3 linked regions of the Arabidopsis thaliana genome follow. Each later gene encodes a partner of the first gene's protein in a complex. Each region holds a gene or a part of one and is shown in the gene's direction. Other genes may lie near its edges.

Region 1 (5,184 bases):
GAAAAATGATTAAAATAAAATAAAGGAAGAGTAGATGGACGGTCCGGTTAACGCAAAGATCGAGGTCATTATTAGTTGGCCTTGGGACTTGCAATTTCCAAAGACCTAAGAAATTAAACCTTATAATAATTGAATTCTCCAGCCCACACCTTCACTTTATCTTCTCTTTTTCTATTTTTTAATTCCCTAATTATTAACCATAGTTTAACTTTCTATATCATAGTTTAATCTCTTGCTGCATAATTAAACGTCAATATTGTTTATCTCCACTATGTAACTAGTCATTTTTTTACACATAAGAGCCATACAAGAGAGCTCGTAATTAGTTTTTACTAACTATACCACCCATTATCACCACATGTGTTATACTCTTTCCATTTCATAATGAAAAACTATTTTGGACTTTTAGGCATATATATAGTATTAAAATCTATGTTTGACGACAAGAAAATAGTATCAGTTTTTTAAGTAATTCACTAGTAGTATATCTTACATATAAAGAATGTCTAATTCAAACACTATATATGACAAACCTGATATAAAATATATTATCAGTAATATTATCAAATTGTATAACGCTTGGAACCATAAAAAAAAAAGGAACTAAATTTTAGTTTAACTATGCTCTAAAATGGTCAAGTTATCAACGACAACTAGGGAATAAAGAAATTTATTTTAGCAATAATTACCTTGACATGTCTTAATAATAATCATCTAATCTCGCATGCATAGATTCCTTACCTCGAATGTCTTAGCATGCACTATATAACAAGGCATGAACAACGTAACTAAATGTCCATATATATACTAAACAAACAATCTTATGATCTATGTATTTCAGTACATGATATCACACCAAGTTGCTCTATACGTAGTCACGGCCACTTAAGAGCCCAATCACAATCACCCTCGTCTCATCCTAGTGATCTTTCTGTCATATACTTAACACTTCACCATTATAACTGCTTTCAAAAACAGATCATTCACATTTTCACCACCATATAACTAAACCATCATAAACAAAGTAATCACATCATGTAGACTATCAATTTAACATCTCCTCTACATATCCACAATTACGTTGGTGTCAAGTCTCAAACATATGTTGACAGTGAAACAATTTATCTCTCTCATGTTTAGTCACTCACGGTCACGAAATTGAATTAGAGTGGATACATGTCATAAATTCAATAATATTATCATTACACACATGCTATTCTATAATAAATTGCATTAACTTTGGGAATTAAATTGTCCACTAACAAAAAAAAGATACATTAAATTTTTTGAATTTTTGAATAAAATTATAATCTTAAATGTGAGTGTATCATGTTATTATCTAGACGTTACAGACGAAATATAATTCTAAATCAGAATTTTTGAAAAAAAAACTTTTGAAATATTACATTAATTGCTAACTATATTACAGTTATATTTAGGCCTTTTTAGCTGTAACCAATAAGAGCAGCTTAAGCAGTCGTTCTTCTTCCTTACCAATAATTCAACGTCCACCACAACATAACACTCACGCTAACGTAAGCGAAAACGCTAGCATGCGCGGCTCTTTCTTTATCGTTGGATGACTTGTAAACAAATTCCGCGCATTTTAGCATCAATTTTTCTGACGCCAGAAAACACCGTACCATTCTTGAAAGGCAAAATTGGAGTTCGTTGACGGAGTAAAAGCTCTCTCTGTTTTTTCATCTACTCGAACTACAGATTTTCATCGGTAAAGTTTTGATCTTTTCAGATCCTCTTTGAATCTTCAACACTCTGTTTTGTCTGTTTCCAAGTTTTAGTTTTGTTCTTGTTGAATTTTGATATTTTTGTTCTGGTTTTATGGTAAAGTTTGAATCTCGTTGTAGTAAATTGTTAAATTAGTAAGAATTTCTGGTGGATCTCTTTGAAAATGCTGAGTCTTTACAAGTATGTAACATTAACTGACTTGGCTTATTGGTCTCTTTCTTGACAAGTGGATTCTTCTCAAATTTCACTTCTCTTTGCTTAGGTTTTGTTCAAAGTAAGGATTTGATTTAGTTGCACTTACTATAATGTGTTTTTGGGTACTTGGATTACATTTTCAATTATTTGCTTGGATGTTCTGGTTTCAGTTGATGAATGATTGGTTTCATATAGAAGAATTGAGCTATGACTAGTGCTAGGATTGGAACTGCGATACCTCGCATTAGAAAGATAGTGTCATTTCACCTAAGTATCCATTTTTTTGGATTAGTTTTTTTTTCTTGTTCCTAGCTAAGCTTTGAACTTTTGATTTTTAGGCCAAGAATGGAGGAAATCATTAGGGAGGACTATTTTGAAGCTTTGTCTAGTAGGAATGAGGAAGAGCAAGAGATGTTGAGGATGTTGACAAAACTAGAGATAGACTCAGCTTATACTAGTGAAAAGTTGATGAATCTGCATGTTCTTCTTATGCATCTTTTGGCATGGGATAATGATCTTGAAGGGATGGGGACACTTGATTCTTCTCCAGCATCCTTTGAAAAAGCTTTGACGTTTGATCTGTTATGCGGTATATTGGAGTCAGAAGTGAAGGAGGTGGACGAGGTTTTGGATGTGTTGGAAGCTCAAATAGTTGACACTTCTTACAAGATATCTTCTTGCAAACACGGAAATTATATTGTTATTGAAGGAAAGTTGGGTGAATCTGCAGAATCATTGAAGCAGTCTAGAGGACAAGTCTCAGAGATCACTTTGCAATTAGCTCAGCTCCGAAGAACACTTCATTACATAAGAAATGGAACAAGTAATCACTTTTGATATATGGTTGTTTTAAAGTTATTGCTGCTTTGGTTTTCTTAGCTTCTTGTTGTTATTGACAAAAATGTTGGCAGGTGAAAACGAGGAGTCAGTGGAGTTAAGGCAGAAATATGCGCTGAAACCATCGGACTTGAGGCATAAAAATGCTCTGAGGATGCTGGAGAAGTCATTGTCAAGAGAGCTAGAGCTTGAGAAGAAGTTAATGGAATTCCAGCAAAATGAGGAACAGTTGAAACTCAAGCTACACTACACAGAGGAGGTATCTTCTCGGATGGAAGAAGCATCAGAGTTTATATGGGGACGGTTTCTAGAGGCAGATAATTCTTCTGAGGTTCTTACAGGTATTTCAAAGGAACTTGTTGGTCGTCTACAGATTCTCCAGTTTAGTCTGAATGGGTCAGCACAACGGGAATCCGAACTTAAGTCTAAGCTTGAAGATTGCACTGTACAACTGGAAGCGAAAGATCTTCTGGTGCAAAAGCTTGAGGGAACAATTTCAGAAAATAGTGAAATAGTTTCAGAAGTACTCACTTTGAGGGAATATGTGAAGTCAGCTGAACAAAAGCTGAAAAATACCGACCTTGAGCTGAAAAGTGTCAACGCCTCCAAACAAGAAATCCTGGTACATCTAGCTGAAATGGAAAATGCAAATGAGTCGGTCAAAGAAAACCTTTTCGAGGCTGAAAGCAGAGCTGAGAGTGGAGAAGCTAAGATTAAAGAGCTAGATGCTGCAAATCTTGAACTTACTGAGGAACTAAATTTTCTCAAAGATGCGGATGATAAAAAGACGAAGAAGGTGAACTCTCTCGAGAAGCAAGTCAGGGAATTAGAAGTTCAAGTACAAAACTCCAAGGTATCATCAGAAGCAAATCAAGAACAGCAGAACATGTTGTATTCAGCAATATGGGACATGGAGACCTTAATAGAAGATCTCAAGTCTAAAGCCTCAAAAGCCGAGAGTAGAACGGAGACAGTGGAGGAGCAATGCATTGTGCTTTCTACCACAAACTCTGAACTCAACAAAGACGTGAGCTTTTTGAGGCAAAAAGCCAAATCCTTAGAAGCAATGTTGGATCTAGCTAACAATGAGAAAGAGAGATATGCACAAGAAATAACTACAAGGAACAAAGTTTTGATGGATATGATGTTGCAATTATCCAGTGAAAGGGAGCGTATACAAGAGCAGGTACTTTTTGGCTAAGTGCATTATTGTTTTCTTTAGGCCAGGGACACAAGAGCATAGCATTGTTGACACATTAATGTTTTTTCTTTCTCCAGCTATATTCTTTGGCAAAAGAAAACAAAATACTTAGAGTGAATCAGTGCTCAAATACATACCAAAGAAATGGATCTTATGCTGGGGACAAAGAGCTGTCGTTTCACGCAGATGGTCACGAAATAGAGGCACTTGCTGAAAGTCTGCAGGCAGGTATTCAGTTTATTTTCCACAAGAAAAACACGAAATTCCTTGTACTTTCTTGTGTATTAGTGTATAGCTTTGATGCTTCAGAATGGTCGATGGGGCAAATATAGATCATTGTTGGGTCATGGATGTGAAAACCAGACATCTCTTGGTTACTAATCTTATGTGGGTCTTTGCTTTCTTTGAACAGGAGGATGAGAGAACAAGGGAAGAACCAGAGAAGCAGTCTGTGTCTGAAAAGAGTAGCGAGATCAGAAGAGCAATCAAATTGAAACACATACTAGTTGTGGCCTTAGTTTTTGTGCTGTTTTGTTCATTCTTTGGTGTGACTTATTAAGGAAATATATCTTAGTGAAAATGTCTTGGCCATAGCATTCGCCATTTGTACATTGTGTTGTAAATACTCATTTATCTTGTATTTATTACAAGCAATGTATCTCAAGTGTTGGTTTATCTCCTCTACAAAAACAACACATTTCAATTATTAAGTGATTTCCTAAGATGGAGTGATCTCACCAGTTGGACTAAAAAAGAATCAGACTAAATTTGGTAAAACCTTCACACAAAAGATTTGTTGCCATTTAACTTCTTTCTCTATAAGAGAACAATCTGAATTCTCTGTTCATCACTTTTACAAAAAAAAAAGAAACAAGAAAAGATTTTGAGGTTACAATTAGTAATGGAGAAAACGTCTCTCAAGCTTGTCTTCTTGTTCTCCCTCACAGTCATAGCATTGTGTAATGCTTCCTCTATAAAAACTTCTTCTTTGTTATAAAATGTTTTGCTTTGGTTTTTGTTTTGAAGTTTTATTATGGTGTGTACTTGTGAAGGTTTGTCTTTGAGTGCCGCGAGAGAGATGGCGAAAGAAGAAGTGAATTGCATAGGCGGCCATTGTCCTGATGGAAAGAAGGACTGTAACTGCTTGCCTCTTATAGCACCAACAATGGACATATATGAGACCAATGAGTCTTGCCGCACAGATA
Region 2 (4,820 bases), on another chromosome or scaffold:
TTGACGGTGCAGCAGCGTTGTACAAATTAGCAAATAAATCTATGGCACTTTCTCCAGTTGATGCTGCTCCTCCTTCTCCAACACAAAGGGTGAGTTTCCTTTCTGCTTCAGTTCTCCTATAGGTAACGGGTGGAAGTCTCAATGCAGTATTCTGTATGTCTTTTTGTGACAGGTTTATCTCGGAGAGCAATATGTAAATAATGCTACGCTGTCTGATGTAACCTTTCTAGTCGAAGGTAATCATATATAAATCCAGAAGTTGTGGAACTCTAGTTAGCTTCAAAGTCCATATGTAAAACAGAAAAATCATACTGCAGGAAGGACATTCTATGCACACAGAATTTGTCTGCTGGCATCCTCAGATGCATTTCGTGCAATGTTTGATGGTGGTTACAGAGTAAGTGAACTAAATATTTTGGTTTTTCGATAATGTTCTTGTGGGGTAAATGATATTTTGATGACAATGACGTATGGATGTATGCTGGTCTGCTATTTATCAAAGGAATACAATTATCTTTTGGGGAAATTAGACCTGAATTGTGTCACGGTTTGTGTTTCGTTTATATCACAGGAAAAAGACGCTAGAGATATTGAGATTCCAAATATCAAATGGGAGGTGTTTGAGTTAATGATGAGGTATGATGAATGAACCTCTGCATGCTTTTGATTGACTCACTCGAGATATTGAAATTTCGAAAAGTCTGTGAGAACTTTTCATATACACGTAATTGACTCCCTTGGATTATGATTTTCAGGTTTATATACACTGGATCTGTCGACATAACAAATGAGATATCAAAAGATCTTCTAAGAGCAGCGGATCAGTATCTCTTGGAGGGCCTGAAACGACTCTGTGAATACACAATTGCTCAGGTGAGCCAGAATTATATCACAATGTAAAGTGATGATGTGGTTTGCGTAGTACTTAACGAAATCTGACACGGTTACTTTGAATATGAAAGGATATTACGTTGGAAAGTATAGGAGACATGTACGAGCTATCAGAAGCATTCCATGCGATGTCGCTGAGGCAAGCTTGTATCATGTTCATCCTGGAGCATTTCGATAAACTGAGTTCAATGCCTTGGTAATATAAACAAGATGTCACTCTCTCTCTCCACTAAGATTTGTTTTATTGCTATTAGTCTGAAACAAAAGTGAATGGAAAATGCAGGCAGAACGAGCTGGTGCAGAGAACAATACCAGAGATAAGAGAGTACTTTTGTAGAGCCCTAACAAAGTCTACTACAAACCTGCAAAGCTTGAGGTTGTAGAATGCGGAAGAAGAAGACTGCACTTAACTAGAGGTAAGTAGACAAGGAATTATATAGAGAGAAAGAGAGAGAGAGATCAAGAGCCGCCATTAGAGGTCTTTATCGTCCTGTACTGGGTTGTCTTAGTTATTTGCTGTGCTTTTTGGTTCGTTTTGGTCATTTTGTATTGTATTAATTAATCTCCTCTGATCACAATCGGTCTTGAATGAAATCGCTACCCTTTGTATCCAAAAATACCATTGTGGTATAACTTCCACTATTCAATTCAAAATCCACTCTCCAACTATCCTCTCTGTTGAGAAAAGATACTTTGGGTAGGTTGTGACTAAGCGTAGCTGTAACGATTTGATATTGGTAGTGGTGACCAGTGAGTTCATGTCTGAATAATTAAGAGATGATTCAACACAGAACATAATATCCCATTTTTGTTTTACAAATAAAGAATCAATCGAAAGTATTACTGATGATTAGAGACTGTAACTTGTAAGTATTTTGTAGCACAAGCCACTGAAAATTACATTACACATAAAGGAGTTTTCTTTAACATGAAAGATTCAAAATTACCAGGTTGGTTCTAATTAATTACGTTTTCTTCCAAAGTGATTAATTACTCAAGTCACGATGAATTATTAACCTTTCTCTTTTTTTTTTTTTTTAAATTAGTCTATAGAGACTTTTGGTTCAACGAACGTAGGAGGGAGTTTTAAAGAGCTCCGGTGAAGGAGAAACCCTAAAAACACACTCGATTTTGCAGCCAGAGAGAGTCTCAGAGCTCCGAGATTCAGACAATCTTCATCGGTCCGGTACGCTTTTCATTTCCGTTTATTCTCATCGCAAACGGATAATTATTTGTCTGATCCGATTTTACCCTGTGATTAAGCACCGATGTTCCTTCCTCGTAGTTGGTGATTTAATGCTTCTTCTCGAAACTATCCACTTATAGGATCTCCGATCTTTACGAGATTACTCTCCTTAATCTCTGTTATTGATTTAGTCACAGCATTTTCTGATTTATCAATTAGTTATTCCTTTGGGCTCAATGTTAATCCTCCTAAGTGATTAGTGATTACGATAGAGCCTCCTCTGATTATTTCTAACTTTTGTGTGTATGTTTTTGCAGTGATATTAAAACTCTGGATTTGCGATAATGGCTGATATACTTGATTCTCGACCTCATGCATTTTCGATTAAACTCTGGCCACCGAGTTTACCTACAAGAAAAGCTCTCATTGAGCGTATAACCAACAATTTTTCTTCCAAGACTATTTTCACTGAGAAGTACGGTAGCTTAACCAAAGACCAGGCTACGGAGAACGCTAAGAGGATCGAAGATATTGCTTTTTCCACTGCTAACCAACAGTTTGAGAGGGAGCCTGATGGTGATGGTGGTTCAGCTGTACAGCTTTATGCCAAAGAATGCAGTAAGCTTATCTTAGAAGTTCTCAAGAAAGGACCTGTTGCTAAAGTTGCGGCAAGAGAATTGATTTCTGAGGATTCTGTGTCTCCCCGCGAAACTTTTTTCGATATTTCTAAAGGTAAACGGGCTTTCATTGAGGCTGAGGAAGCTGAGGAGCTTCTCAAACCTTTGAAGGAACCTGGCAATGCCTACACTAAGATATGCTTTAGTAATAGGAGTTTTGGCTTGGGAGCTGCTCGTGTCGCTGAGCCTATCTTGGCGTCTTTGAAAGATCAGCTTAAGGAAGTTGACTTGTCTGACTTTGTTGCTGGACGACCTGAGCTTGAAGCTCTTGAGGTTATGAATATATTTTCTGACGCACTGCAAGGTAGTATTCTCTCGTCTCTCAACTTATCAGATAATGCATTGGGTGAGAAGGGTGTTAGAGCGTTTGGGGCACTCTTAAAATCTCTGAGCTCTTTGGAAGAGCTGTATTTGATGAATGATGGTATCTCTAAGGAAGCTGCGCAAGCGGTCTCCGAGTTGATTCCTTCAACAGAGAATTTGAGGGTCCTTCATTTTCATAATAACATGACGGGAGATGAAGGGGCACTCGCTATTGCAGAGGTTGTCAAGCGTTCCCCACTGCTGGAGAATTTCCGTTGTTCTTCCACAAGAGTCGGCTCAAAAGGGGGAATCGCCTTGTCAGAAGCACTTGAGCATTGTACTCATATGGAGAAACTTGATCTGCGGGATAATATGTTTGGCACAGAAGCCGGAGTTTCTTTGAGCAAAACTCTTTCAAGCTTCAAACACATGACTGAGCTTTACTTGAGTTATCTAAATCTAGAGGATGAAGGTGCCATAGCCATAGTAAACGCTCTAAAGGAGTCTGCTTCGCCCATTGAAGTTCTAGAGATGGCAGGAAATGACATAACAGTTGAAGCTGCTTCAGCTATCGCAGCCTGTGTTGCAGCAAAACAAGATCTGAACAAGTTGAATTTGTCTGAGAATGAGCTGAAAGATGAGGGATGTGTCCAGATTGCAAATTGTATAGAAGAGGGTCACTCAAAACTGCAATACATCGATATGAGCACCAACTACATAAGAAGAGCCGGAGCACGAGCCTTGGCTCATGTTGTTGTGAAGAAAGAAGCTTTCAAGCTGTTGAACATTGACGGGAACATCATATCAGAAGAAGGCATTGAAGAATTGAAAGAGATATTCAAGAAATCCCCAGAGTTACTTGGAGCTTTGGATGAGAATGATCCTGATGGAGAAGAAGATGATGATGATGAGGAAGACGAAGAAGATGAAGAGAACGAAGGTAATGGGAATGGTGAGCTGGAATCGAAGCTGAAGAACCTTGAAGTTAATCAGGAAGATTAAGTCTGTGATGTTGGTACTTTTCAATGTTTTTGTTTGTTTTGTACCAGTATTATTACTCTAGCTGCTGCTACAAAGACCAAAACATATTTGAGACATTGGTGTTAGTTTTATTTTTGCCGATAGCTTATTGGTCCTTTTTGTTTAAACACGATTGTATCGCTATTCTGAGGTCATACCTATGAGCAAAACAATTTTATATTCTATTTGGTTTGGTACCGTTTTGGTTTAGATACGATTTTAAACAAATTTTGTTAACTTGAAAAGTTTAAACTAACGTGAAAGAAGTTTTCAGGAGTGACCATTTCACATACTAAAGATATAATCAACAGTGAAGACAAGATTTTGAGTTTAATACTAGTTAGAATAAGCAATCGAGGATTGCAAACGCAAGCATAAAAACATATTTTTTTTAACAGTAACAATGGCATTTTTTTGCTCCACCAGCAAAACGTTTGCAAAAACCGCCTTTCTTATTATCACATCCATCAAGACACCATTTGTTGCATCTCTTTCTGTCTTGGTATGTGTTGCAAGCTCCAAATTTCGCATGTGTGTTACAGCACAACGAACTTCCGGATCCTTCAACGACATCTATAACATGCAAACAACAATTTTTCATCTTTAAGATTCACGTAAAGATCAAACAAAAACTTTTTATATAATACATCTTTGTATCCCCAAAAATATCAAAATTTATGGTGAGAGACTAACCAATAGAGAACAAAAGAACAAGTAGCATAGCAAAAGACATTATTTTCATG
Region 3 (5,043 bases), on another chromosome or scaffold:
TATTGTTTAGGTACTCAAATTACAAGCCTGTAAGTATCTTACTGACTCATCATTGGAGCCTCTATACAAAGAAGGTGCTTTACCGGCACTTGAGGAGTTGGACCTGTCATATGGAACTCTCTGTCAGACTGCGATAGATGATCTACTTGCGTGCTGCACACACTTGACCCATTTGAGCTTGAACGGATGTGTAAACATGCATGACCTGGATTGGGGTTCAACCAGTGTACATCTTTTTGATTACTTTGGGGTCTACAGTTCTAGTGACAATACCCAGGAACCAGCTGAAACAGCCAATCGGTTACTGCAAAACCTAAACTGTGTGGGTTGCCCCAATATTAGAAAAGTGCTGATACCACCTGCAGCTCGCTTTTACCATTTATCAACACTGAACCTTTCGTTATCGGTCAATCTGAAGGAGGTTGATCTCACCTGTTCCAACCTGGTTTTACTTAATTTAAGGTTTGAGCTTTTGCATTTGCTAGATAACTTATATTCTTTATCTTCCATGAAATGAGTGGTCTTATTCTATTGCTAATTCCATTTCGAATTGTCTAGCAACTGTTGCTCTCTGGAAGTATTGAAGCTCGGCTGTCCAAGATTAGCTAGTCTCTTTCTTCAGGTATGTTTTTGCTCCGTAACTTTTACCACTAAACACACTTTGGTACCTTAAGCTTGGGTCTATATGTTACCACTAAACACACTTTGGTACCTTTTGTCTTTGGTAGTCTTGTAACATGGACGAAGCAGGAGTTGAAGCGGCTATATCAGGATGCAGCTCACTCGAGACATTGGATCTTCGTTTCTGTCCAAAGGTACTAACAATAAACGAGTGTTAACTTCGATATTGAAAACTTAGCAAGTAATCCATTTTTATGTAACAATTAAAACCTTGTCTTGGTGAATTAACAGATATCCTCGGTGAGCATGTCAAAGTTCCGAACAGTGTGCCCTAGTTTGAAACGCGTTTTCAGCAGTCCAAATCTCTTGCAAGATTAGGGTTTTGCGCCAAATGTTTGATTATATACAACTTTTTCTGCAGATTATAGAAATAATGTGTTGTGTGGTGTGGTGTTTGGGTTGTAAATGGCTCCAAGTCATAAGTTTCAGTAGTGCATATAGGCCTCTGGAGTTTGTACTGTGGCCTTCTTAGGATGCTTGTGTGATGACACAAACCTAAACAACATTAGTACTTTTTTTGTGTACGTGGTTGATGATATTGTTGCTACTGTTATATGTAGATCTTATATTTACCTTATCAATTTACCTTTTAAGCTTTGATCCACATTGACTCACATAACAAAGATAAAAATTAAATAAAACTTTTGGAATAAGTAGGGGGTAAGAAAAATTTAGTATATTTTTTGGAAACTAAAGTCTAAAATATGAATGAAGGAAGAAATCTGGAATGTAAATTTGGACTCATGCGTATTGGATGATAATAATTTGGACTTCTTCTTCCCCCAAACTCTTATTTGGACTCTCATCACCATATATGAAATTACAACAACAATAATCGACAACAAATTTTGGAATATTTTCTCTATAAAAGAGATCTAGTAATTATAATAAATATAAATAAACCTCACTAACTATCGTTTAAGAATGTTATATTCAAATATTGCCTTCTACATTTTTGACTTACTATTTTTAATTTGCTAAATTACTAAAAATAACAAGTTTTTAGCGTCAGTAAATTAACTACACAGTTTGTTTTACTAATGTGAAATCAATTTTGCGAGTAAGGATTAAACCCTATAAATGATTCGAATCAAAGATAATAAACTTGGCATTTACTCCGGAATGTGACGTAAATTTTTATCCCTAAAAACTTCTGTGTTTTTGTTTTGGATCTAGTCTTCTTTTGTTTTTTAATGCAAAATCCGAGAGGGCGGGAAGTAATTGTTGTTGTTGATGCTCTTTTTTTTTTTTGTTGCTTTTGGGAACTTTTTTGGGTAGCGGTTTAAGTAACTTTGAACCTTTAAAAAAAAAAAACTCCACAGTAGTAAAATTTCGCCCCTTCTCTCTCTATCTCCTTAGGGTTTCTCAATTCTTCTTCATTTTGAAATTTGAAAAATTCTCTGGCGCAACCTCACGGACTCTCTTTCTCTCTCTATGACTCTTGCTTCCCCCAATCTAATTCTCTAGGGTTTTCTCGTCGAGCTCTTCACGAGTTCATGAGAAATTGTCTTCCAATGGAATTGAATCTGCGCAAGGGCGACAAGGTTTGGGTCGAAGATAAGGATTTGGCTTGGATTGCTGCTGATGTCCTCGATTCTTTTGATAACAAACTCCATGTTGAAACTTCTACTGGGAAGAAGGTCTGATTAACCGTTATTTCTGCTGAATTAGCTCTGTTTCTTCTTCTTCCTCTTCTTCATGCTTTATTCATGCTAATTTTTGCTGTTGTGCGATTTTTTTTCTGGGGTTTTAGGTTTTTGTTTCCCCGGAAAAGCTATTTCGGAGGGATCCTGACGATGAAGAGCATAATGGAGTGGATGATATGACCAAACTGACATACTTGCACGAAGCTGGTGTTCTTTATAATCTACAGAGGAGATATGCTCTGAATGATATCTATGTGAGTTCTTTTCACTCTTTTTTTCTTTGGTATTGTTTATTGAGAGGTCTTTCTGAGTATATTTGGAGTTTGAATTTTTAGTTTCTATACTTCCGGGGGTACTTTATTGAGTCGGATTTCATTCCGTATGGAAGTTTACTCATTTTCGTAGTGGTATTAGTGTACTCACTGGCCGGAGTTTTCCTCTAGAACGAGTTACTGTTGCTTTTGGAGTTTCTTGTGTATTAATATGTGGTGTAAGACATGTTTCCATGTGAAGTGGATTCAGGTTCTTTATGATGGATGCATCTAGATGTGACCTGATATATTATTTAGCCGAAAAAGATAGATATCGAAGTGAAGAAATTTATTGTGACATAATGCATATATCATTACAGGCATTTACTTGCCTATTTGGTATCTAATCGCACTTCAAACATCTTGTGATCTAACCCTAACTATTGCTTTTTTCAATATTAACAATATTATTGGCGGGAGCGGGATAATCAACCTTGTGTATTCGTAACAACTTTTTGTTAGTTTGTTGGACTGCCCTGTGACTGTGAATTATTTGTAGGTTCAATATTCCTTCTAAAGTTATGGAGAGCTTCTGTTCCGTATTTAGTAGGTGAAAGTATCTATTTTTTAGACAGTTTTGTACTCAGCTGGCTTGCCCTTTTGTAAAACATTTGGTGGCAGCTTGGTGTCTAATTTATTTATGTCCCCATTGAGATGATAATATTTAGTTGGAAGTATTGGTGGTAATAATTCCTGTATCATTCTTTTTGCCACTCATAACTGTCAGCTTTTTACGCAGTTCCAATAGTAAATCATTCATGACTGCATTATCTTCTTACAAATACGTTCGACTTCTTTTTCAGACATACACTGGAAGCATTCTGATCGCTGTTAATCCATTCAAAAAGCTTCCACATCTCTACAATGGGCACATGATGGAACAGTACATGGGAGCACCATTCGGTGAGCTCAGTCCTCATGTTTTTGCAGTTTCTGATGTTGCATACAGGTGATCCACTCTTTTTTCTCTAATGTTTCTGATTTTTTAAAATCTTACTATCAGTCATGTTAATCTATTAACCATAGTTATTCTTTATAACCCAGAGCAATGATTGACGACAGTCGAAGTCAGTCAATACTTGTTAGCGGTGAAAGTGGAGCTGGAAAAACTGAGACAACCAAACTAATCATGCAGTATCTTACATTTGTTGGGGGACGTGCTACTGACGATGATAGAAGTGTTGAGCAGCAAGTCCTTGAAGTAAGATTTTGGTTATAAAATTTGTGTCTTCTATCTTGTTCAATGAGAAAAAAAGAACTGGATAGATGCCTTTGTTTTCCTCCCCTGGTATTTGTTTGCAGATAAATATTTAGGGGTGATCATGTTTGACTTTCTTTATTTGCGAGTTATCTATTCTAATTTAAGTATTCTTGTTCTGCAGTCAAATCCTCTCTTGGAAGCATTTGGCAATGCAAAAACAGTTAGAAATGATAATTCCAGGTGGGTTATTGATTTTTTTTTTTCTTTCTGTTTATTTTTTCAATGAAAATTGAGAGGTGTATCTTTAATTGCTCTTATGTCATTTGTCAACAAATTTTTCATGATAGTATCCTTAATACCCAGTGATAACAGCACTTTATGATGTTGATATGGTTTTAGTAAACCTTTTGGTTGAAATTTTGTGTGCCTAGCTTTTAGACGAATCTACTGACCAATCTACTGATCTTCTTTTGCTGTTCAGCCGTTTTGGAAAGTTTGTCGAAATCCAGTTTGACACAAATGGTAGAATATCTGGTGCCGCAATCAGAACCTATCTTCTGGAGAGATCACGTGTTGTCCGGATAACAGACCCCGAGAGGAATTATCATTGTTTTTATCAATTGTGCGCTTCGGGGAATGTAATTCTTTTTACAGCTCTATATACATGTCATAAGAGATTGGTTTTGGTTTTCTTATTATCTGATTGAGCTACGCCAGGTTTTTCTCGCTGAGTTTGTCAATTTACCTACGCTAATTACTAATCTGTAAATGTTCTTATTTTGCTTAGGACGCTGAGAAATATAAACTAAGCAACCCTCGTCAATTTCATTATCTAAATCAAAGCAAGACCTATGAATTAGAAGGAGTCAGCAGCGCAGAAGAGTATAAGAATACAAGGAGGGCAATGGATATTGTGGGCATAAGTCAGGATGAGCAGGTATAACGACTTCTAATTGAATTTTCATATGTTTTTCTTCTGCCAGCTTCTGAAATTCCTTGCTTGTTTCCTGCACAAATCATTTATCAGGAAGGGATATTTCGCACACTTGCTGCGATTCTACATCTTGGAAATGTTGAGTTTTCCTCAGGGAGAGAGCACGACTCTTCAGTGGTAAAGGATCCGGAATCTAGACATCATCTGCAGATGGCTGCTGATCTTTTCAAGTACATAAAATTTTCTGATAGTACTCATTTTTAATTATGC

What was found.
Region 2: WIT2 (region 1) and RANGAP2 share a complex: the UniProt entries of both Arabidopsis thaliana proteins name them as parts of the ran complex.
Region 3: WIT2 (region 1) and XI-I share a complex: the UniProt entries of both Arabidopsis thaliana proteins name them as parts of the LINC complex.

The regions. Positions count from the first base shown.
Region 1 is NC_003070.9:25,907,588-25,912,771, reverse strand, and holds WIT2 (WPP domain-interacting protein 2), read left to right. Parts: upstream 1-1,663; 5' UTR 1,664-1,729; intron 1,730-2,233; exon of another isoform or gene 2,234-2,279; 5' UTR 2,280-2,286; coding exon 2,287-2,764; intron 2,765-2,852; coding exon 2,853-3,964; intron 3,965-4,056; coding exon 4,057-4,203; coding exon of another isoform or gene 4,204-4,207; intron 4,208-4,391; coding exon 4,392-4,538; 3' UTR 4,539-4,641; downstream 4,642-5,184. Other genes in the region: AT1G68907 (Defensin-like (DEFL) family protein), read left to right, coding at 4,881-4,938, 5,032-5,184. UniProt on the Arabidopsis thaliana protein: Together with WIT1, required for the nuclear envelope docking of RANGAP proteins in root tips. Plays a role in nuclear shape determination.
Region 2 is NC_003076.8:6,504,549-6,509,368, reverse strand, and holds RANGAP2 (RAN GTPase activating protein 2), read left to right. Parts: upstream 1-1,723; 5' UTR 1,724-1,841; intron 1,842-1,930; exon of another isoform or gene 1,931-1,937; 5' UTR 1,938-2,077; intron 2,078-2,394; 5' UTR 2,395-2,421; coding exon 2,422-4,059; 3' UTR 4,060-4,277; downstream 4,278-4,820. Other genes in the region: ARIA (ARM repeat protein interacting with ABF2), read left to right, coding at 1-89, 173-236, 318-397, 572-636, 756-873, 963-1,087, 1,175-1,274; AT5G19315 (Defensin-like (DEFL) family protein), read right to left, coding at 4,469-4,650, 4,771-4,820. UniProt on the Arabidopsis thaliana protein: GTPase activator for the nuclear Ras-related regulatory protein Ran, converting it to the putatively inactive GDP-bound state.
Region 3 is NC_003075.7:16,011,927-16,016,969, reverse strand, and holds the start of XI-I (myosin), read left to right. Parts: upstream 1-2,000; 5' UTR 2,001-2,177; coding exon 2,178-2,321; intron 2,322-2,434; coding exon 2,435-2,581; intron 2,582-3,441; coding exon 3,442-3,587; intron 3,588-3,682; coding exon 3,683-3,839; intron 3,840-4,020; coding exon 4,021-4,079; intron 4,080-4,320; coding exon 4,321-4,477; intron 4,478-4,626; coding exon 4,627-4,776; intron 4,777-4,866; coding exon 4,867-5,003; intron 5,004-5,043. Other genes in the region: SLOMO (F-box family protein), read left to right, coding at 11-462, 559-622, 729-815, 913-999. UniProt on the Arabidopsis thaliana protein: Myosin heavy chain that is required for the cell cycle-regulated transport of various organelles and proteins for their segregation.